Linked DNA regions of Notamacropus eugenii. The protein of the gene in region 1 interacts with the protein of each later gene in a biochemical or structural test. Links are inferred from orthologs where the notes say so. Each region holds a gene or a part of one and is shown on either strand. Other genes may lie near its edges.

The links. The genes of interacting proteins can lie anywhere in the genome.
Region 2: the proteins of MAPT (region 1) and tubulin alpha-1B chain form a complex in vitro, tested with the Homo sapiens proteins (2 studies listed by BioGRID). The link is inferred for Notamacropus eugenii from reciprocal best matches to the Homo sapiens genes MAPT and TUBA1B.

The regions. Positions count from the first base shown.
Region 1 is NC_092873.1:346,977,807-346,987,822, forward strand, and holds the start of MAPT (microtubule-associated protein tau), read right to left. Parts: upstream 4,098-10,016; 5' UTR 3,970-4,097; intron 1-3,969. UniProt on the Homo sapiens protein: Promotes microtubule assembly and stability, and might be involved in the establishment and maintenance of neuronal polarity.
Region 2 is NC_092874.1:221,009,793-221,019,706, reverse strand, and holds tubulin alpha-1B chain, read left to right. Parts: upstream 1-5,266; 5' UTR 5,267-5,521; coding exon 5,522-5,524; intron 5,525-7,160; coding exon 7,161-7,383; intron 7,384-7,477; coding exon 7,478-7,626; intron 7,627-8,595; coding exon 8,596-9,576; 3' UTR 9,577-9,826; downstream 9,827-9,914. UniProt on the Homo sapiens protein: Tubulin is the major constituent of microtubules, protein filaments consisting of alpha- and beta-tubulin heterodimers. Microtubules grow by the addition of GTP-tubulin dimers to the microtubule end, where a stabilizing cap forms.

The DNA of each region.
Region 1 (10,016 bases):
TGGAAGATTAAAAAAAAAAATATTTCTATCATAGAGGTTATCTAGCTGAAACATATAGAGTATTTACTAATTTGAATGTCACTCACAGTTAACTAGAAATGAACTCTACAGGAGAACAGCAGTTTTCTCAGGGAGTACAACATGACGTTAAAAGGCAGGAAAAAAAGGAGGGAAGTCAATCGTGTTTCTCAAAGTAATGGCCCTTTGCACAAAAGCAGAGACCTGTTATTGCCATGTTGAACAAACTAGGAGGACAGCTGGGTATTAATCCAGTGATCTGGGTAACCTGTATTTTTCTTTCTCAAATTTTTTAAGGATGGGGAGGAAAAGAATTACCCTAACATTCTTGGAAATTCTGCTCAACTGCTTGGCATCCTAAGGCCCTGTGGAGGTCCTCTGACCCTGGTAAGCAGCCACAAGACAGTTGTTTCAGCCTAACATATCTCAGGCTTGCCTTGAAGACTAAATAATATCCTGATTATTTCATTATCCATTTCATTTGGTGAAAGTGAAAAAAAAATTCAGTCATTTGAAGCCTGAAGTTCAAAATTACATAGTAATAATCCCGTAATTAGGAAATGAAATGCAATCTAGTCCATTACAAATCCTTCAACAAAGTTCAGTTTTAAAGAGTCATAAAATGTTTTTTTAATCATATTTTAAACAATCATCAGAATTATTTTTTTTTATGGACAGCTGTCCTAATCTTTGCCAATCAATACTCACACACTTGGAGAGGTATTTCAAAACGGAGCAGCATTTTAGCCAACCCACGATTTGATTGAGGATTTGGTGAACTAAAAGGTATTAGGCCCTTCCATTCCTCCTTAGTCGTCAAATAGACGCAAGCTGAGAACATTTCCATTCAGTAATAGCCTGTCATAGCTACAAAAATCCATCTTCACTGGGATAACATCTGACTGGTATCACCAGAATAATCCTCATTCTTTGTTAGATAAAAGCTTTCAGAAATAACTTTGATTAGTTCCCCACATTCACAGAGTGGGAGTGGGGCTGGATGAGGTGGAAACCACTTAAAGTCCCTTCATTCCCTTACCTCCCTCTCATCTTTGTCCTTAGCCTCTGCTGGAGATGGGAGGGCTAAGTTATTCCAAGAGTGAATGTTCAGATCAATTTAGAAAGTGGACAGTATAATACTTCAGGCCATACTTCCTTCCTATTCTCCACCTCACCAAATCCCTTCCTTAAAAAGGCAGTGTTTATTCTTTCTTAATTTCCTACATGGAAGGGGAAGAATCATGTAGGAGAAGCTGCTGATGTAGATGCTGCATCTGTACTGCTCCCCCCTGGTGGCTGTCTCCCTGATGTCACCCCACCCATCTTTAATGTCACAAGACTGCAAAAGGTCTTGACCTCCTCACTAGTTCTCCTGGAAGGCTGTTTGGGAGGGTGGGGAGAAAGACACTCTAAAAATAAATGCTTGTTCTGAATTAATTTACTGTAAAGATCTGTCCACGATCTATCCCATTACGACCCCAGTCAATGTTCCATGATTGTGGTGAGCTCCTTGGTGGGTGCTGCTCCCAAAGTCAGCAGAACCCACATCTCCAATGAAGTCTCGAGATGCCTCCCCAATTCTTTGCAACTCTATCCCTAAAGAAGGAAATCCTAGAAGCCTGGGGTCCTTCCTACTCAATCTTCTCCCATTTCCATCAATCTCTCCTTGCCCTGATCCTCTTTCAGAAAAAGGCCTGCCGTTTTTCAGCTCAGTTCCTAAGCACTGGTTGTTCATGGGCATCTGGACCAGAAGAGCACTCTCTATCACACAACGCTCGCACCTGCAGGAATGCCTCTGCGCAACACGCGCAAACATGCTAGTTTTCCTCATGGATCTGTCAAACGAGCGGAGCAGGACCCTTTCGGTCTGTGTGTGGATTAACATGCAGAGGGTGTGTGCACGCGCGCGCTCATGGATGTGTACGCGCGCGCGCGCCGCGAGGCGTGGTGGCCACGGGATAGTGCCCCGGCCCGGGAATGAACTAGCGGGACTGTGCGCCAGGGCGCGTGCGGGTATGGGAGCTCCTGGCACCGAAGGAACGACGCAGACAGGCAATTCCCGCAAGGCACAGGGATGGTTTTTGTTTGTTTGTTTCGTCATTTTCTCCAACCCTAAGCAGCCTCCCTGAGGGTGAGGGAGCACCTGTGAGCCTACCCTAACCAGCCTGGGTGGTCCACTTTAGCCTCTGCGCGTGCCCGGTCCTAAAAGGGGCGTAGTCCCGGCCGCGCGGCGGCCAGCAGAGCCTTTGCTGTTCCCATACACTGTGGGAAAAGAAAACCCTCCCTGGGAATTTGGAGACGCGTTCTCAGAAAAGCCCGGAAACAGCGAAAAGAAGCGTCTATTGTATCCCTGCCATCGCCGCTGTCACGTTGGTTCCTCGGTTATTAAGGGGGAAAATCGATTCGACAAAAGCCTGCTGATTCTAGTGGCACCTTCTCGGGACTAGGTGGGGTGGCGATGCTCGGGGTAGACACCACACTTCTCAATCAAACGAAATTTTAAAACCATAGCGGGGAAACACGAACCATTTAACAGGGAGACACAAAGCGGCACTCTCCCCAGCGCACGTTCCCTAAGGTCATTCTGCGGTAGCAAAATGTAAAGCTTTCACAGCAGATTTCCCCCGTCTTGCTTTTAACCATATCACCACATGCCATCCTGTTCTCTACAGGGTATATGCCAAGGATATCACAACGGCATTTATAAGGACATGTCAGACTGCAAAATATGGCACCACCGATTTGAAAAAGAGAGAAGAGGGAGAAAGCCCATCCTTTCCCCCCTCCCTCCTCCCTCTCCTCCCTTCCCCCCTCCCTCCAGATACACACCTACTGCAGCATCCAGAGGCAAGCCCTCACCGCCATCACGGCCACGGCGTAAGGGCCGGCTACAGAACGGACAGCGCTACCCGCTGCGGGTAAGAGAGGAACGAGAACCCGGGAAAGGAAGAGAAAGAAACCCGTCCTCTGAAAATGCACCTTGCAGCCCGCAGCCCTGAGTGCGGCAACTGACGTCTGCAAAAAAGCAGCTCGATTTTCCGAGTGACCAAGGCGGGGACGCAGCCGCGGTGCTGGACACGCACACACACACACACACACACACACACACACACACACACGCACACACCCTGATTTTGGGGGGGGGAGGGAGTGAAACAGAAAAAAAAAACCTTCCCCCCTCAAGAAACGTCAACCTCACCATTCATCTGCTTTTTGATTTTTAGTTTTGGACACAGGGAGAATAGGAATTGAGGATAAACTTGCATCCATCCATCCATCCATCCATCCATCCATCCAGAGACCCCTCCCAGTTAGGCGAATCCACTCCACCTTAGCCAACATGTCCCCTGAATTCTGGGAAAGAAAGCCGGGTTGGGGGTGGGGACCCTAGTAAGCCTTTCCCCCGAAGCCCACTTCGGGGTGGGGAGGCATCTGGTGAAAAATCCACCCCACGCCCTCCTGAGCGCGGTACGCAAAACGGGAAATCGGAGGCAGGTTCCTGGGAGACTGGAAATTTCTTCTCCCTCATCCTCACCCCAGGGCCCCACCCCCTCCTGGTCGTTGGCATCGGAAAAGATGCCCCTCGCCCTACTGCGGCAAGTGGTATGGGGGAGGGGAATGGCAAGTCCCCCTCCCTTTTTTCCTCCGAGGTCACCGCAACCGGCGCCCCACCCTGTGCATTCAACACCTCGCTCTCCAGGTTCACGCAAAGGCTTGGACGCCGTAACTCCTTTTTTCCTTTCTCCACACACGCTTCCCTTTGTGGATCGCCAGAGGAACCCTGCCATTCTCCCCTACGCGGGTGCGCAGCCTGCGGCCGTGGGGTGGGGGTCAGAGCGCTAGGTAAAGGCATCCCTCCCTGCCCGCCGGGCGCTCAGCCATCCAGCCCGAGGAGGGGGCGCAGAGGCGCACTGGGGGCTGGGGAGCAGCTGGCCGAAGCCCCGCGCTTACCTGCTCGGCCGGTGCGAGGGGAGTGCGGAGCGCGGAAAAGGTGGCGGCGGTGGCGGACGCGGTGGTGCTGGGTGGCGGTGGCAGGTGGGCGGAGGTGGGCAGCAGCGGGCGAGAGCGGGCGCGCGCAGCCGAGGAGCAGAGAGCGCGACCACGGCGCCTCCCCGCGAACGGAGTAACTCAGCAGCAGCAGCGGCAGCAGCAGCAGGAGCAGCAGCAGCAGCAGCAGCGGCAGCGGCAGCAGGAGGGCGGGGGCGGGGGCCCAGAGCAGGCAGCAAGTGGAGAGCCGCAGAGCCAGCGCAAGCGCGACTCCCCGCCTCAAGGGCCCTCCCTTCTCCTCCGGCCGCCAGAGGGAGCCCTCAAGCGGCCGGGAGCCCCGCCCTCGGGTCACGCCGTTGCCCCTGCCGCCAGTCTTCTTTCCTTTCCCTGCCGTGGTTCTCTCTTTCCCTCTTCCCCACCCTGGGAATCTCAGCCCCAACCCTTCCCTCACCCACCCCAGCGCCTGGGTTTCCCAGCACGGACAGGCGCGCGCGCTCGCGCCCGGCGCATGCGCACGCACCTCTCTCCCACCCCATACACAGACCCCCTTCTTCTCTCAGCCTGGGGCCTTTGTCTCGTCAGAGAGACCCGGGGGCTTTTCCCTGGGGGGAGGGGGGCACAGGCCGGGCAGCCGGCTCTGACTTAGCCCTGACACCCCCAGAGTCACAGAAGCACTGGCGAGGGCGGTCCCCGGGACAGAGAGGACCCCCTCCCCCCATCCCCTCTGCAGCCCCGGGGTCACACCCAGAGTCGTCGTCACAGCGTGGTGGGGGTAGCGCCGAGGCGGACTTGGGGGTCATTTTGTCCACCCCCACCCCACCCCGTGACGAAGCCCAGGAGGTTAAGGGTGGGCCCGAGGTCACACAGCAGCGCATCTACGCGTACCTGCGCAGGTCTGCTCACCGCCCCCACCTGTAAAGCCACCCATTCCCGCCAGCTTGCGCCCCTGCTTGTCTCCCTTTGGGCCCCTTGGCAAAGGCGTCTCCCTACGAGCGATGCCCTCATGCCCTTTTTCCTCCCTCCCTTCTTAGCCGGGATTTGGACCCAGGCGCTCGGGCTGGGTGCCCACCCTGGGGTGCATCCTCTTCCACTCGTCTCCCTTGCGCCCCCAGATCACACGGTCGTTTCGGACCTCTCTGGGACAACTGGTTGGCACAGTGGACAGAGCATCGCATAGAGTAAGGACGACGGGTTCAGCCTTGGCCTTTTTATAGCTGGCAACTAATTCATATAACCTCTGCGTGCCCCAGTGTGCCCATCTGTAAAACAGGGATCATTCTAGTACTTTCTTCCCAGAATTGCTATGAAGATAAAACGAGATACTATTTGTAGAGTGCTTGGCAAACTTATTTTTTTTTTTATTCTTGGGCTCAAAGATCACTGAAGTTGAAGACTGAGGCCATGAAATTAAAAGACCTTTGCTCCTTGGAAGAAAAAGCTATGACAACTCTGGACAGCATGCTCAAAAGCAGAGATATCTCCTTTCCTACAAAGGTCCAAGATAGTCAAAGCTCAGGTTTTTCCAGTAACGATCTATGGCTGTGAGAGTTGGACTATAAAGAAAGCTGAGTTCTGTAGAATTGAGGTTTTTCCATTGTGGTGCTGGAGAAGACGTTTGAGAGTCCCTTGACAACAAGAAGGTCAAATCAGTTAATGTTTAAAGAAATTAATCCAGGTTATTACTGGACAGTCAAACACTGCAGCTGAAGCTTAAATACTGTGGCCATATAATGAGAAGATGGCACTTATTAGAAAAGACCCTGATGTGAGGAAAGATTGAAGGCAAAAGGAGGAGGGAATGACAGAGGATGAGAGAGAAAGATAGTGTCATGGGAACAAGAAACACAAACTTGGACAGACTTCAAGAGATAGTAGAGGATAGTAGAGGCATGCTATATTGTCCAGGGGATCATAGAGAGTAAGACACAACTGTATGGCTGTACAACAACAAATTGCAAACCTTAAAGTGATATATAAATGCTAAGTTATAAATAGGAGTATTTGTTGTTAACATCAGAGAGCCCCTCCCTCCTTCCATTTTCCTTTCCTACACTTCCTTGATTAGGGAGATTCATATTTATTTTCTCAATACCCAGTATTTCTTAAGCAGGACAGTTTTGGAAGGCTGCAATTCATTGGAGCTGAAAGAACTGGAGATTGGAGGAGTTTCAGATCTAGGGGAGAGTTAGGGTGATACACTGGAAAGCATGCTGTCTGGAGTCAAAGGTCCTGGATTCCAGTCCTGATTCTGCTATTTCTACCTGTGTGGTCTCCATGTCACTTAACATCTGTGGGCTTCAGTTTCCCCATGTGTAAAATAAGAGAGAGGATCTCTTCCAGCTTGATATCTATGATTCTGTGGGTTGACTACTCTACTCTGTGACCTTGGACAACTAGAAGGCCAGCAGGGTGTAGTGGACTGAGTGCTGGACTTGGGTTCCATTATGACCTATGTTATGAACAAACTATGTGACCTTGGACAAGTTATTTACCCTCCCTACCCTCAGTTTCCTCTTCTGTAAATTAGGGTTTGGACTAGATTGACCTCTAAGGTCAGTGGAGCAAGGCAATCATTGTGACTCACTATCCCACTCACCACAGCAACTTTTATAAACATTTCCTCTCTCAACAGATTTTTTCCTCTGTCCTCTCAACTGAGATTCTTTCTCCATATTCCACAAGAAATAATGTCAGACATTTGCTTCTTCTCTTTTCTTCCTCACCTCAAATCACTCAGATCCGTTCTGCAATTGTCTCCTCTTTTACCCCTGTCTAACATAATGAAGCAACCCTTGTTCAAAGGCAAACAACTCTACATATACAAGGATTCCATTCCATCTTCTCCAGCAGGTCACTCCCCTTTGTCATCCCTCTGTCATCCCTATTCTCTCACTAATCTTCAGTCTCTTATTGTCTGTTGGCTGCTTTTTTACTGCTTACCAACATGCCATGTCTCCCCAAACCTCAAAAAACTCTCACTTGATCAATCCCTTCCAACTATCTATCTATGAGTACCTTTTTGTGGCTAAACGACTTGAGCAATTCATTTACTGCCAGTGCTTCCACTCCTGTTTTTCTCATTTTCTTCTTAATTCTCTGTACCCTGATTTCTGATCTTATTGTTCAGTTGAACTTGCTCTCTCCATTTACTAACAATCTATTCTTAATCACCAAATCTAATGACCTTTTACTTGGCCTTTTTGCAGCCTTTGACCCTATTGAACAGCCTCTTCCTGATACTTTTCTTCTCTGTAGATTTTTGTGATTCTATGCTCCTGGTTCTCCTCCAATCTGTCTGACTCAGTACTCAGTGTCCTGTCCTAGAGCTTCGTCCAGGTCATGCTTGCTACACATAGATGTCCCCCAAGGCTCTGACTGGGGCACTCATTTATTCTCCCTCATACTATTTCATTCGATGATCTCATCAGCTCCCTTGGATTCAGTTACATCTTTATGCAGATCATTTTCAGATCTATCCTCCAGCCCCAACCTATCTCCTGACCTCCAGTCTTGCATCTCCAACGTCATGGAAATCAACTGGATGTCCTATAAATATCTTAAGTTCAACCTATCTAAACCTGAACTTATTTTCTTTCTTCCCAAACTCTTCCCTCTTCCTAACTTCCCAATTATTGTTGTCAAGAGTATCCCCATCCTCCAAGTCCCCCAGACTTGCAACTTAGGTATTATCCTCAATTTCTCAATCTCTCTTACCCTTTATAGTCAATAAATTGCCAAGTCCTGTCTTTTCTATTTGTAATATCTCTCCTTTTAGTCAGTCTTGCATCTCCAACGTCATGGAAATCAACTGGATGTCCTATAAATATCTTAAGTTCAACCTATCTAAACCTGAACTTATTTTCTTTCTTCCCAAACTCTTCCCTCTTCCTAACTTCCCAATTATTGTTGTCAAGAGTATCCCCATCCTCCAAGTCCCCCAGACTTGCAACTTAGGTATTATCCTCAATTTCTCAATCTCTCTTACCCTTTATAGTCAATAAATTGCCAAGTCCTGTCTTTTCTATTTGTAATATCTCTCCTTTTAGCTCTTTCCTCTCCTCTGATATTGCCACCACCCTGGTGTAGGCCCTCATCACCTTGTACCTGAACTATTGCAATTACCTACTGGTTGACCTCCTTGTCTGAAGTCCAAGCTGTCAAAATGACCTTCTCAAAGTGAAAGTCTGACCATGTCACCTCTCTCTTTTTCACTTAACTCCAGTGGCTCCTTGTTGCATCCAGTATCAAATATAAAATCCTCCACTTGGCCTTTAAAGGCCTCCGTAGCCTTTCCCATTTCTAACTTTTCAATCTTCTTATACTTTATACTGTCCTTCTGACCACTACATGCTCTGTGATCCATCGACGCTGGTCTCCTTGCTATTCCTCCAACTAGACAGTCTATCTCCTCACTTGACCTTTCCCTTGGCTGTCTCCTATGCCTGGAATACTCTCCTTCCTTATCTCTGCCTCCTGGCTTCCTTGACTTCCTGGAAGTACCATCAACAAAAAGCCTTTCCTAAGCCCTCCTCCTTTTTAGCTCCTTCTCTCAAACATTATCTCCAACTTATCTGGTATATATTTCACTTGTATATAGCTGTTTGCGTGTTATCTCCCCCAACCCCTTAGGCACATAGTAGATACTTAATAAATGTTTGTTGACTGCCTACACTGAGGACTTCACTGATCAGTTGTTTTTTTCACTTGTAAAATGACTACATGTTATTTCTGGGGGGCCCATAGAAATAACTCTTGGGGGAGAAAGTCTTTCATTTGTATCAGATGTCTAACCATTGCTGACTTTTAAGTTCATGCAATTAATTTACACCACCTTTTCCCCAATTTACTGATTTAGAAATCATTTTTATCATATTTTCAATAACCTTCCTGTGTTGATTACTATTTTCCAATTCACATTTCCCCCATAATTGCCTCTGAATATTTAAAAATTCATAGTGACAACCTTTGTGAAAACCTGGTTACATGATTTACCCATCTCAATTTCAATTCTTAACTCTTTACGTCATTTCAGTCACACAGCAGTATGGTCACATAGGCTTCACCATCTCTTAGAAATGTATTTATTTGTCCGTGTATATGTTTTGTCTCCTCCTGCTCCCCAGTAGAATGTAAGCACATTGAGGGTAAAGATTGCTTCATTTTTGTCTTTGTATCTTTGTATGCTCAGTATCTAGTAAAGGGCTTCGAGCCCTGGAATCAACACTTTATCAGTGTTGATTGAATGGAATTGAGGGAAAAAAAAAACGATCACACAATTCCTTAATTGCTTCAACTCCAGCTTCCTAGCTCTATCTTCCCTCATCTGTCACATACCTTATACTTTAACCATTTCAGGGAACTGTATAACCTCCATGATCAAGAATGCAATGCTAATGAACAGATAATTAGTAAGAACCTACCAAGTGCAATGCCCTGGGCCAGACAATAGAGACAACATTTAAGAAACTGATAAAGTCCTTGCCCTTCAAGGAATTTGTGTTCTACTATGAGGATAAGACATTTATGCAAATAATTATAATACAGATTAGATTGTGATAAGTGAACAGACCTCAAATAAAGAGGGATAGGAGGCTAGAAGGGGATCACTTCAACTGGGGAGATCACTAAAGGTTTCATGCAAGTTGTTGTACCAGGGTATACCTTGAATGCAGAGAACTCAAAAGGTGGAGATATGAAGAGAGTCTTTTCCAGGAATGTGGGGGGTGGGGTTCTGGAGGAGGGGTAGGGATGGTCTATACAAGGGCAAAAAATTGAGAAAAGGTAGGGAAGGCAACATTTTTGGTCTATCTTGACTACATTATATAGTATATAAAGAGGAGCAGTTTATATATATAATACATATAATATGTAATAATATAATATATAATATAATATATATTAATACCAATATGTCAATATATAATATAATGTAATATGATATAATATAATATATAAAGTTAGAGCTAGATTATGGAGGGTTTTGAATGCCAAGAAAGGAACTTTTATTTTAT
Region 2 (9,914 bases), on another chromosome or scaffold:
TTCTGCGAAGCTTATTTATAGATATTATGGAGTTATTCTCTTCTTCTAGGTTTCTGTCTTAAGCATTCTTGTCACTGTAAAAGCTCAATATGGTGGGCTTCTTTTTGTTTGCTCATTCTTTTAATCTGAATTCAGACTTGATGTCTGGGTGGGGCTCTGCCATACATCTGGAAGGAAGGTTTAGGGTGGTCTCTTTCTTGGTGGCATTAAGCGTTGTATTAGTCCAGGATCCTAGGGATAGGTTGGGGAACTTGCTAGCTTTCAGCACACCAACAAATGATTTGTGACTTTTTTTAGATTTCCCCATAAGGATTCAGTCTAGTGTATTTTTTAGATGTTTGGAGAGATTTATAGAATGGAGCTCATCACACTGCTTTCTATTACACTGCCATCTTGGCTGACACTATCATGCTGGTAAATATTTAACAACCAACTCTACCTCCCCCTCCAAAAAAAGGTATGCATGATGTACTTTTTAAGTTTATTCCCCCTTAATACTAGTGCCTTCCTTCTGTAGATTAGCTCTAATTTATTGTGTACATATCTTGTTTGCATACAGTCAGGGGTGTGCTGATCAACATTTAATAATTGGCTCTCCCAAAAACTGTACACAGGATCCACTTTTAAGTTTGATCTACATTATTAACATTTTCTCCAACACTTTCTTAAGTCTAGACAATCCACAACAATAACAAAAAATAAATCCAATGGTAGGTTTGTAGTTTCACATGCAATCATCTTTTTTTTGTTATACCGATATGGCAATACTTGTTTTGTTCCATGAATTGAAAATAAAATAAATTTGTAATACAAAAAGCTCCCAATAAATCAAGTGCTGATTTGTAGTGTTCGCTGAATTCCAAAGCATAAATGCTCACACTAAAAAGTAAACAATTAGCTCTCTGGAGCTGTTACAAGCTGGCTCCAGCACACTCCTGTGTATACTTGTTTTCATGTTGCTTCCCCCATTAGGATATGAGAGGAAGAACTGTTTATTGCCTTCCTTTGTATCACCAGTGCTATTAGTGACTAGCACACAGCAGGAGCTTATTAAATGCTTATTGACTGACTGACTAATAATGTACTCTAGGTATCGAGATGATAGACTATAGGTACAGAATTAGACAAATATTTTCAGATACAACCTAATTTGTTTTGCTTGAGCATACTTATTTGTTATAAGGGAAGGATTTTATTTGGGTAAAGGGAGAGATGCAGAAGAGAAGAGAGATAGTCATAGGGATGCAAAACAAATTTATTATGTTTTAATAAACAATATGTTTCTATCAATTTTGCAAGTCTTAAGAACTCTGATCAACAAAATGGCCAGCCACAACTTCAGAGGTCTCATGATGAAACAGGCTACCCACTTCCCCATAAAGAGGTAATGAATTCAGAATGAAAACTGAGACTTTTTTTTGGGACCTAGATAATTAGGGGATTTGTTTGTAACAGGGAATTTTGCATTTCTTGCTTTCTTAATGGGGGTGGAGGGAAAGTAGAAGGGAGCCTTTAATGGGAAAAAAGAATTTAAAGCAATCTCTTCATGATTTCATAGCCAAACCTTTTTCTGGCCGTTTTCACATAATGGAAATATTTCCATTTTTGATTCAAATAGGATGGGGATGGACCTGACTATGGTTGTAAGTAATGAGGGAGGTACCAGTAAACAGAGAAGCGTTAAAGTTTAAAAGGAAGGAATGTTTGGGCAAGATTCTGGAACAGATAGAAAGGGATGCTGATTGTTGGCACAAGTAGAGAGACTGTTCTTAACCACAAGTGAAGTGAAGTTGTATGTATGTGTGTGGGTTGGTGTTGTGATATAGAGAAAAAAATAACAGAACTCATAAAAATGATCTCAATTTTCCAGCAAAAAGTTACAAAAACATTTGCTGAGAGAGAGAATAGAAATGATGTTGGAGGCTTGAAGAGAGAAAAGAAAGTTTGGAATAATCACTTAGGAGAATAAAACAGAAAAAGTGAATTGAAGAAGAATAAAAAGTTTGCTGTACAGCAATAAAATTAAATCATTTAAGTCTTTGGTGGATACAGGACAGTATCAGAGCTGCTGCAGCCTCCCAGGCCTTGCCAAACAAAGTGAAAGCAGAAGAATGGACACTAGGAGAGACTGCCATTGCCACTGCCACTGCTACAGTGGCAGCCAGATCAGGGGGCTTGGCTTGAGACTTCTGGAGCTGAGAGAGGAGACCGTTGCCCTGCTTTCCCTCCCCAACCCCACCTGTCTTCCGAATATCAGTACTCTGCTACTGCCTGTCTGTCCCACCCACCCCCCTCCTATCTATGTCCCCAAAGAACCTCATGTGTCTTCCTGCCCCACCCCCTTCTTCCTTTTGGTTCTGGCCAGGCCTTCACGTGGCTGGCCGCTGCCTGCTTTTGTTTCACTCGCATTACCAATAAAAAAAAGAAAGAAAAAAATGGTTTTACAGAAGTCTGCAGAACAGGAGTAAAGCAAGAACTGTCTGTGTACCAGATAATACAGAATGACAGAGCTCTCCCATTGGGAATAAGGTAATTCAGCTTAACCAAGAGAGATGGTGTTGTATCTCACCCAAGAGGAAACTCTCCAAGGTCTCTAGAGTAGCAAGCTAGGAACAGAGACATGACCGAGACTTCTTGCTCCTGTCATGTCTTCTCAGCCTTTTCCTTCAGCAGCCTGAAGTGAAGTTAGCCTTTTTCCCTTTATCTCTCAAAGATGGAAGACAACAACACTAGAAGAAAACATGAAACTTGACCAATACCAATCCCTGAAGACTCCTGAAGGGGGAAGTCCCAAAGAGGGAAGTCCCAAAGAGGGACACCGGTTTGAAAAGTCCCCATAGAAGGACTGAGAACTGATGCTCTCTTGCCTCTCTTCTCTACCAATATGGAGAAAGTCCCATGCCAATGGTCTTGGGACAAGAATTGTACCCACTAGTGCTGGTTTTAATTTCTTTCACCATCACCACAGATTAAAGGGTGGACTCCTACAAATAGCAGCCCTGGAATCTGACTACCCAAATCTACTACTACACACCTATATGGCAGACTGGGAGGCCTAATATGAATGCCATGAATCACTCTGCACCTTGCACCTTGAAATAGCAGACAGAAAGTATTTCTTAAGGTCAAAGGAAAAGGAAATAAGAAACCATGAAATCTGTATATTTGCATGTAGACTTTGTCATTTCCCAGTGTTTCATCAATCTCTTCCTGAAATTCTGGGGGCCTCCTCCACTCACCACAGTGGTAAAGCCACTGTACAAATAGCTACTTTAAAAAGACAGAAAATTATAATTAGAGAGGAGAATGCTAGTGTTCAGAATCATGGAGATGACATCATTATGGGTGATGGTGGGAGCTAAGGTATGACCCTCTCTATGGCTGGCTAAGGTGGAAAGATTGTAGATCATGACAGCTGAGGCAACTGATAAGCAAGATAGGCAGGGTTTTGAGAGGACATCAACACCTATATCACAATATAAAGGCAGAGATTGGGGTGCAACCAATAATGATCAAGATACTTGAGAAAGAAAGGAAAGTGACCTGGAGGATGGTAGATGCCAGAAATCAAACTCTGGATGGGGTAATACAGATAGCTGGAATGAATCTAAAAGGAAGAATGGTTACTGAATGCCAACTTCTTCTCCTGGCCCAATATGGTAGGTTGCCTAGGAGAAGAAACACCCAGTGTTGAAAGAGTAGCCAAGAATCAGTCTTTTAGAAAGAGGCAGGTTTCTGTGAGATCCTGATGGAAAGAGTGAAATAAGAAATCTAGAAGGAAAGGAAAATTGTTAATCAGTAGAGATTTCAAAGAGCACAGTGTAAAGGAGGGCAAAGGAGGAAAGGTACTGAGGAGAGCTAAGTGGAGATGATAATATGGGAACATTATTTTTCACCTTAGGGGCAATAACTCTGAATTATGAGTATCAGAGAAACAGATACAAATTTGCTAACTATTGTGCCTAGAGAAGTACCACTTGTTTGGGGCTTTTGCCCCATAAGTTGGTTGTATTCTAACTCCAAACACTGAGGACATAAAGGTGGACGAGATAGCAGTGTCCCAACCAGAGATCTAGCCACTCAGAAACTACACTAAATTCAAACGTGCCAACAGCTCCATAGCTATGTTCTAGAATAATAAGAGATGATGAGACACACTGAGAGGATCTCACACATGGAACATCCATCACACCCAGAAACTATCCATCCACACATGGAATAAGCATTTATTAAGCTCTTACTATGTGCCAAGCATTAGGGTAAGTGCTGGGAACACAGAGAAAGGCAAAAAAGCCCCTGCCCTCCAGGAACTAACATTCCAGTGTGGGAGGCAGCAAGTAAATAGGTACACACAAGAGTAAATAGAAAGTAACCTAAGAAAGAAAGGCAACTGAGTGGGAAAGCAGAGAGAGAAACTGGTGTTTGAGCTGAATCTCCTAGGAAGTTGGGTTATCTTAAAGGTGGAGGAGAAGGAAGAACAGCATTCCCAGCGCACAGAACAGCCAGTTTACAGGCAGACATTTGAGATGGGGGATGGGAGTGCAATACGTGAGGTCTAGCCAGCTGGCCAATATGGCTGAATCATAGAATGTGAGACAGGAAGTAAAGCATAAAAACACTAGAAAGGGAAGGAACCTGCATGGGAAAAATCTCAATGCCATACAGGAGACTTTACATTTTATCTTGAAGTTGACAGTCCCTGGGGTTTCCTGAGTGGGAGTTAGAGGGACAGGATGAGGAGGGTGAGGGAGGTCCAGACCTATGATTTAGCAAAGTCACTTGGTTCTTGGCTGAGTCTGGCTGTCTGCTGGAAGAAGACACTAGATATAATGTCTAAAATTCACATTTCAGGATGGAGCCGAGCCTTTGTCCGAGATCTCAGTTTGGGGGGGGGGGGGTCCAGGAAGAAAGTGTTCAGTATTACGCAAGATAGGGAGAGATGCTGTGGACATGGGGTACAGCAGACCTGCACAGGCCAGGGCTACATCTGTATATACCGCCCGCTTTGCAGCCTTGTTTTCCCCGCAGTATTGGCCTTCCTGATGGCTGCGGGTGAGGCCCTGCTGAGTTAAGGGCTTCAGTGTCTGAGGGCAGCGTGCTTACCGAATTATTATAAATTCAGGGTTTCCATTGAGCGTCTGGGGCTTTTGATTCGGGGCATCTTTGTAATGTCCAGGTCTCTGAGCCATAAAGGAACGGAGCTCACCAGACACTGAAAGGAGGGGGCCTGCCTCCCTCCGGGCCGCAGTGGGGGTGGGAGCACGCCGGCCGCTCCCCGCCTCTGCAGCCGCAGCTCCCCGCCCGGGCGCGGGGTTGCAGCAGGGGCCTGGCTCGCAGGGGGAGGGGCTGGCCGGTCTGCCGCGTTAGCCCCGCCCTTCCCCGCAGCTGCCATATAAGCGGCTCCGGCGCCTCCCCCGCCTCAGTGAGTTACTTACCTCGACTCTTAGCTTGTCGAGGGCTGTAACGAGAGCCCGGCTACCCCTGCTCTGCCGTCTCAGCCGCTGCTTAACCCGCGACCACCATGGTGAGAGGCCGGGGCTGGCTTGGGGCTGGGTTCTAGGTCGGACGGGAAGCGCAGGAACTGGGAGTTCAGGGCAGGAGGGGGGGTCCTGATGGGGCGGGGGGGACGGAACGGAGCTCAGAATGTGAGGCGAGGGCCCCACGCTGGGGCCTGCAGGGCGGCGCGGGGCTTCCCCACCCCCCGACTCGGGTAGCGAGGTGGGGCGCGCTCCGGCCTCCTGACCGCTGGCTGCGGTGGCTTTTCCCGCGCGCGCCCAGGCCGCCGCCCTCCTCCCCTCGCCCTCCTCCCCTCCCCCTCCCGCGTGCGCGCCTGCCGGCGCAGTCTTCGCGCCTCCATGCCGGCTTCCGCAGCCTCTCCCCGCGCTTTCTGGCGGGGCACGGAAGCCATCGCGCGCCCTCGAGCCCGCCAGCCCTCTGCGGAAGGCGCGCGCCCGCCCGGGTACGGCCCCCCTCCCCCGGACTGCGGCTCTGCGGACGTTCGGGGCTGCAGAGCCGCAGTGGGGAGGAGGGGAAGCCCGCCCGGGCTGGCTCTTTTTTTTCAACTTCTAAAAAACTTCATCTAATGAAAAATAGCGTGGGTGGCATGGCACCCCCCCGTGCCCCTGGCCCGGGCCGCATTAGGCGCATCGCTGCCATTCCAGGCCGGTCCTCGGAGACAATAGCGTGCCATGGCAGCGCGGCCATCTGTTCCTCCCTGCCCCGGCCTCCGCAGCCCGCTCTGCGCTAGGAATGCGCGGGGAGCAGGTGGTGGGAGGCGAGGGCAGAGGCAGGACGGATTCCACGGGCAGAAATCGGATCTGGCCCCAGATCTGGGCCGAGGATAATCGGGCCGGACAGATGTGGAGGCTGCGGGAGGGGTGGGAGGGGCCGGGCGGGCCGCAGCCTCTGCAGACGTGGACGGCCCCCGTGGTTTGGGGCGAGGGAGGTGGCATCGCCATGGCGCAGCGGGCTCAATAGCGCCTTCAGTCTTCTCCCCCTCCCCCTCCGTCGGAGGGCCAGACGTTTCCTCCTTGCAATTCTATCCTTGCTTCCTGTCTGCTGCCTGCTCACAAATCTGGCCTCGCCTGCAGAGGTGGGAGGCTGGACATGTGCGCAGGCAGGAAGCCGTGACTAAGCTCCATCTTTAGGCTGCCTGCTGCGGAGTTGCGGCAGAAAGGGGTTGGGGCCGAGGTACAGGAAATGGCAGCGTAGTCTCACCTACCAAACAGAATGACTGTACGGGGAGGGAAGGGGGTACTGATTTCAACGTGAAGTCAAAAGAAAAGCCGCTCCTTAGTGAGAATGAGCCCCCAAATTCTTTGTAGGGAGGGTTGTAGAGCCCAGGTGCCTTATTGATGACAAAGTGGGTGGCTCCAGGGAACTCAGATTGGGTGAAATGAAAGCAAAACTTGATATTTCTGCCAGGTTTTTCTTTCCCTTCCCTGCCATATAAGCTCCCATATTTTAAATATTGATTCCATAGAACTCCTTGGTGTCTATTGTTAATTTTTTTAAGTCTCTAGAAAGTTAAAATGTTTTGTAAATTCAATTAGTTATGAGGAGGACTTTGGGAATCCTGCGATTGGTACCAAGAATCGTGCAGATTTTTCTGTGATAGGAGACCCATTACAAAATTGCCTTTCTCTACTCTTGTCCCACAGCGTGAATGTATCTCTATCCACGTTGGCCAAGCTGGTGTCCAGATTGGCAATGCCTGCTGGGAGTTGTACTGCCTGGAGCATGGTATCCAGCCTGATGGTCAGATGCCAAGTGACAAGACCATTGGGGGAGGAGATGACTCCTTCAACACCTTCTTCAGTGAAACAGGAGCTGGCAAACATGTCCCCAGAGCAGTGTTTGTAGATCTGGAACCAACTGTCATTGGTGAGTCTAGCCATTAGCCCTAAAGGCCTCCCCAAGTTGTCACTTCTTTTTTCTTCCTATAACCATAACTGTGTTTGTATATTTCTTCCCCTAGATGAAGTTCGCACTGGAACCTACCGCCAGCTCTTCCATCCTGAGCAGCTGATCACTGGCAAGGAAGATGCTGCCAATAACTATGCCCGTGGGCACTACACTATTGGCAAGGAAATCATTGACTTGGTTCTAGACAGGATTCGGAAGCTGGTAAATATAAAGATAAAAAAGAAATAAATTTTAATCCTAATAGTTGTGATGGGTCAAGAATAGAAAAACATGGCAATTTTAGGAATTGCTTATGGTTATGCACAACAGTGAATTCTTAGAATAATTATTCAGCAATCAGACTAAACAGAAGATTTCAGATCTCACTAGAATAGACAGCCTGGACAGTTGTACTAAGCTAGCTTTCTTTAGATATAGGACTTTCGTTTTTTTTGTCAGGTATTCCCAATAGCTATATCCTCTCCAATAGAAGCCTATAGACTTCTGAAGTCTGATCTTCTTGTTCCTGGAAAATTCCTGAAAAAAACAATTACGCAATTGTAAATCCCAATATTTGGGAATGAGTCTTAAAATACCCATAATACTATCCATATTAATTTGACATCTTTGAGTTTAGACATATTGCCAGACTAGTCAATTTTTATAGCTAGGATTCTGTGAATTCCTGATTACCCTGAAGTGAGCATGAGACTTGATGTAGGTACAAATTAAACAAGACTCCTATGGGGTTGCTTTAGGAAGAGGGAACATCTTTCGGTGTTGTAGCCTATTGTCTGAGACCAAGGAAGCAACATTCTTTTCTGGTATCTACCTTTAGATCCCTAGGATTCTTACTCATGCCTAAGCAGATGTGGTTGTACCTAGTGATAGCTGTGCTTCAGACACTTTACTGAAGGAAACTAGAGATCATTTTGAGCTAATAGTTGTTCCTTTAATAAATTCAATAGATAAAGATCAGTTTAGGTCAGCTGGTGATATGGACTTGCCTCAGTTGACTGGGGGCAGCTTTTACTAGCTCAGTGTGGGTTGAGATATTTCTTAATAGTCCATGATCCAAAGGTTACAATATTGATAGCAGAAAATAAAAATAAAGTTAAGTATGTGGCATAGAGGGTAAGAATATAGCCTAGCACCTAAACTGACTCTTACTGTGATTTTCTTTTCCAACAGGCTGATCAGTGCACAGGTCTTCAGGGCTTCTTGGTTTTCCACAGCTTTGGTGGTGGGACTGGCTCTGGTTTCACCTCTCTGCTGATGGAACGTCTGTCCGTTGACTATGGCAAGAAGTCCAAGCTGGAGTTCTCCATTTACCCAGCCCCTCAGGTTTCCACAGCTGTAGTGGAACCCTACAACTCCATTCTGACCACTCACACCACCCTGGAGCACTCTGATTGTGCCTTCATGGTAGACAATGAGGCCATCTATGATATCTGTCGCAGAAACCTTGACATTGAACGCCCAACCTATACTAATCTGAATCGCCTTATTAGTCAAATTGTGTCCTCCATCACTGCCTCTCTCCGATTTGATGGTGCCCTGAATGTTGATCTGACAGAGTTCCAGACCAACCTGGTGCCCTATCCCCGTATCCATTTCCCTCTGGCCACATATGCCCCAGTCATCTCTGCTGAGAAAGCCTACCATGAGCAACTTTCTGTAGCAGAGATCACCAATGCTTGCTTTGAGCCTGCCAACCAGATGGTGAAATGTGACCCTCGCCACGGTAAATACATGGCTTGTTGCCTGCTCTACCGTGGTGATGTGGTTCCCAAAGATGTCAATGCTGCTATTGCCACCATCAAGACAAAGCGTAGCATCCAGTTTGTGGATTGGTGCCCAACTGGTTTCAAGGTTGGCATCAATTACCAGCCTCCCACTGTGGTTCCTGGTGGTGACCTGGCCAAGGTACAGCGGGCTGTGTGCATGTTAAGCAACACCACAGCCATTGCTGAGGCCTGGGCTCGCCTGGACCACAAATTTGATCTGATGTATGCCAAGCGTGCCTTTGTCCATTGGTATGTGGGGGAGGGCATGGAGGAAGGAGAGTTCTCTGAGGCACGGGAGGATATGGCTGCCCTGGAGAAAGATTATGAGGAGGTTGGTGTGGATTCTGTTGAAGGAGAGGGTGAAGAGGAAGGAGAAGAGTACTAGTTACCCCTTCCGTACAACTGCAGCATGTTGCATCCAAAACTCATCAGCTTAAACACACTTAGCTTATCTGTTACCTAGGCAACTGTTGAGAAGGTACCATAATGGTATGAAGGCAGCCTTGATAGTACAGCTAGCTATCTGGTTAGTTTGTCTACACTATCAAAACTGTGATCATGTCTAAGTTTTCCATGTGTCTCTGTAAAAAATTTTTCCATCGTGTCTGAAATTAAAGGCTTTAAGGAAAAATGCAGTCTTGACTTCTGTCTAGTCTTTTAAATGGCATGTCTGAGTCTGGAAGTGTGCTGTGCTATTCCCTAATCCCTGAATGCTCTTACCAA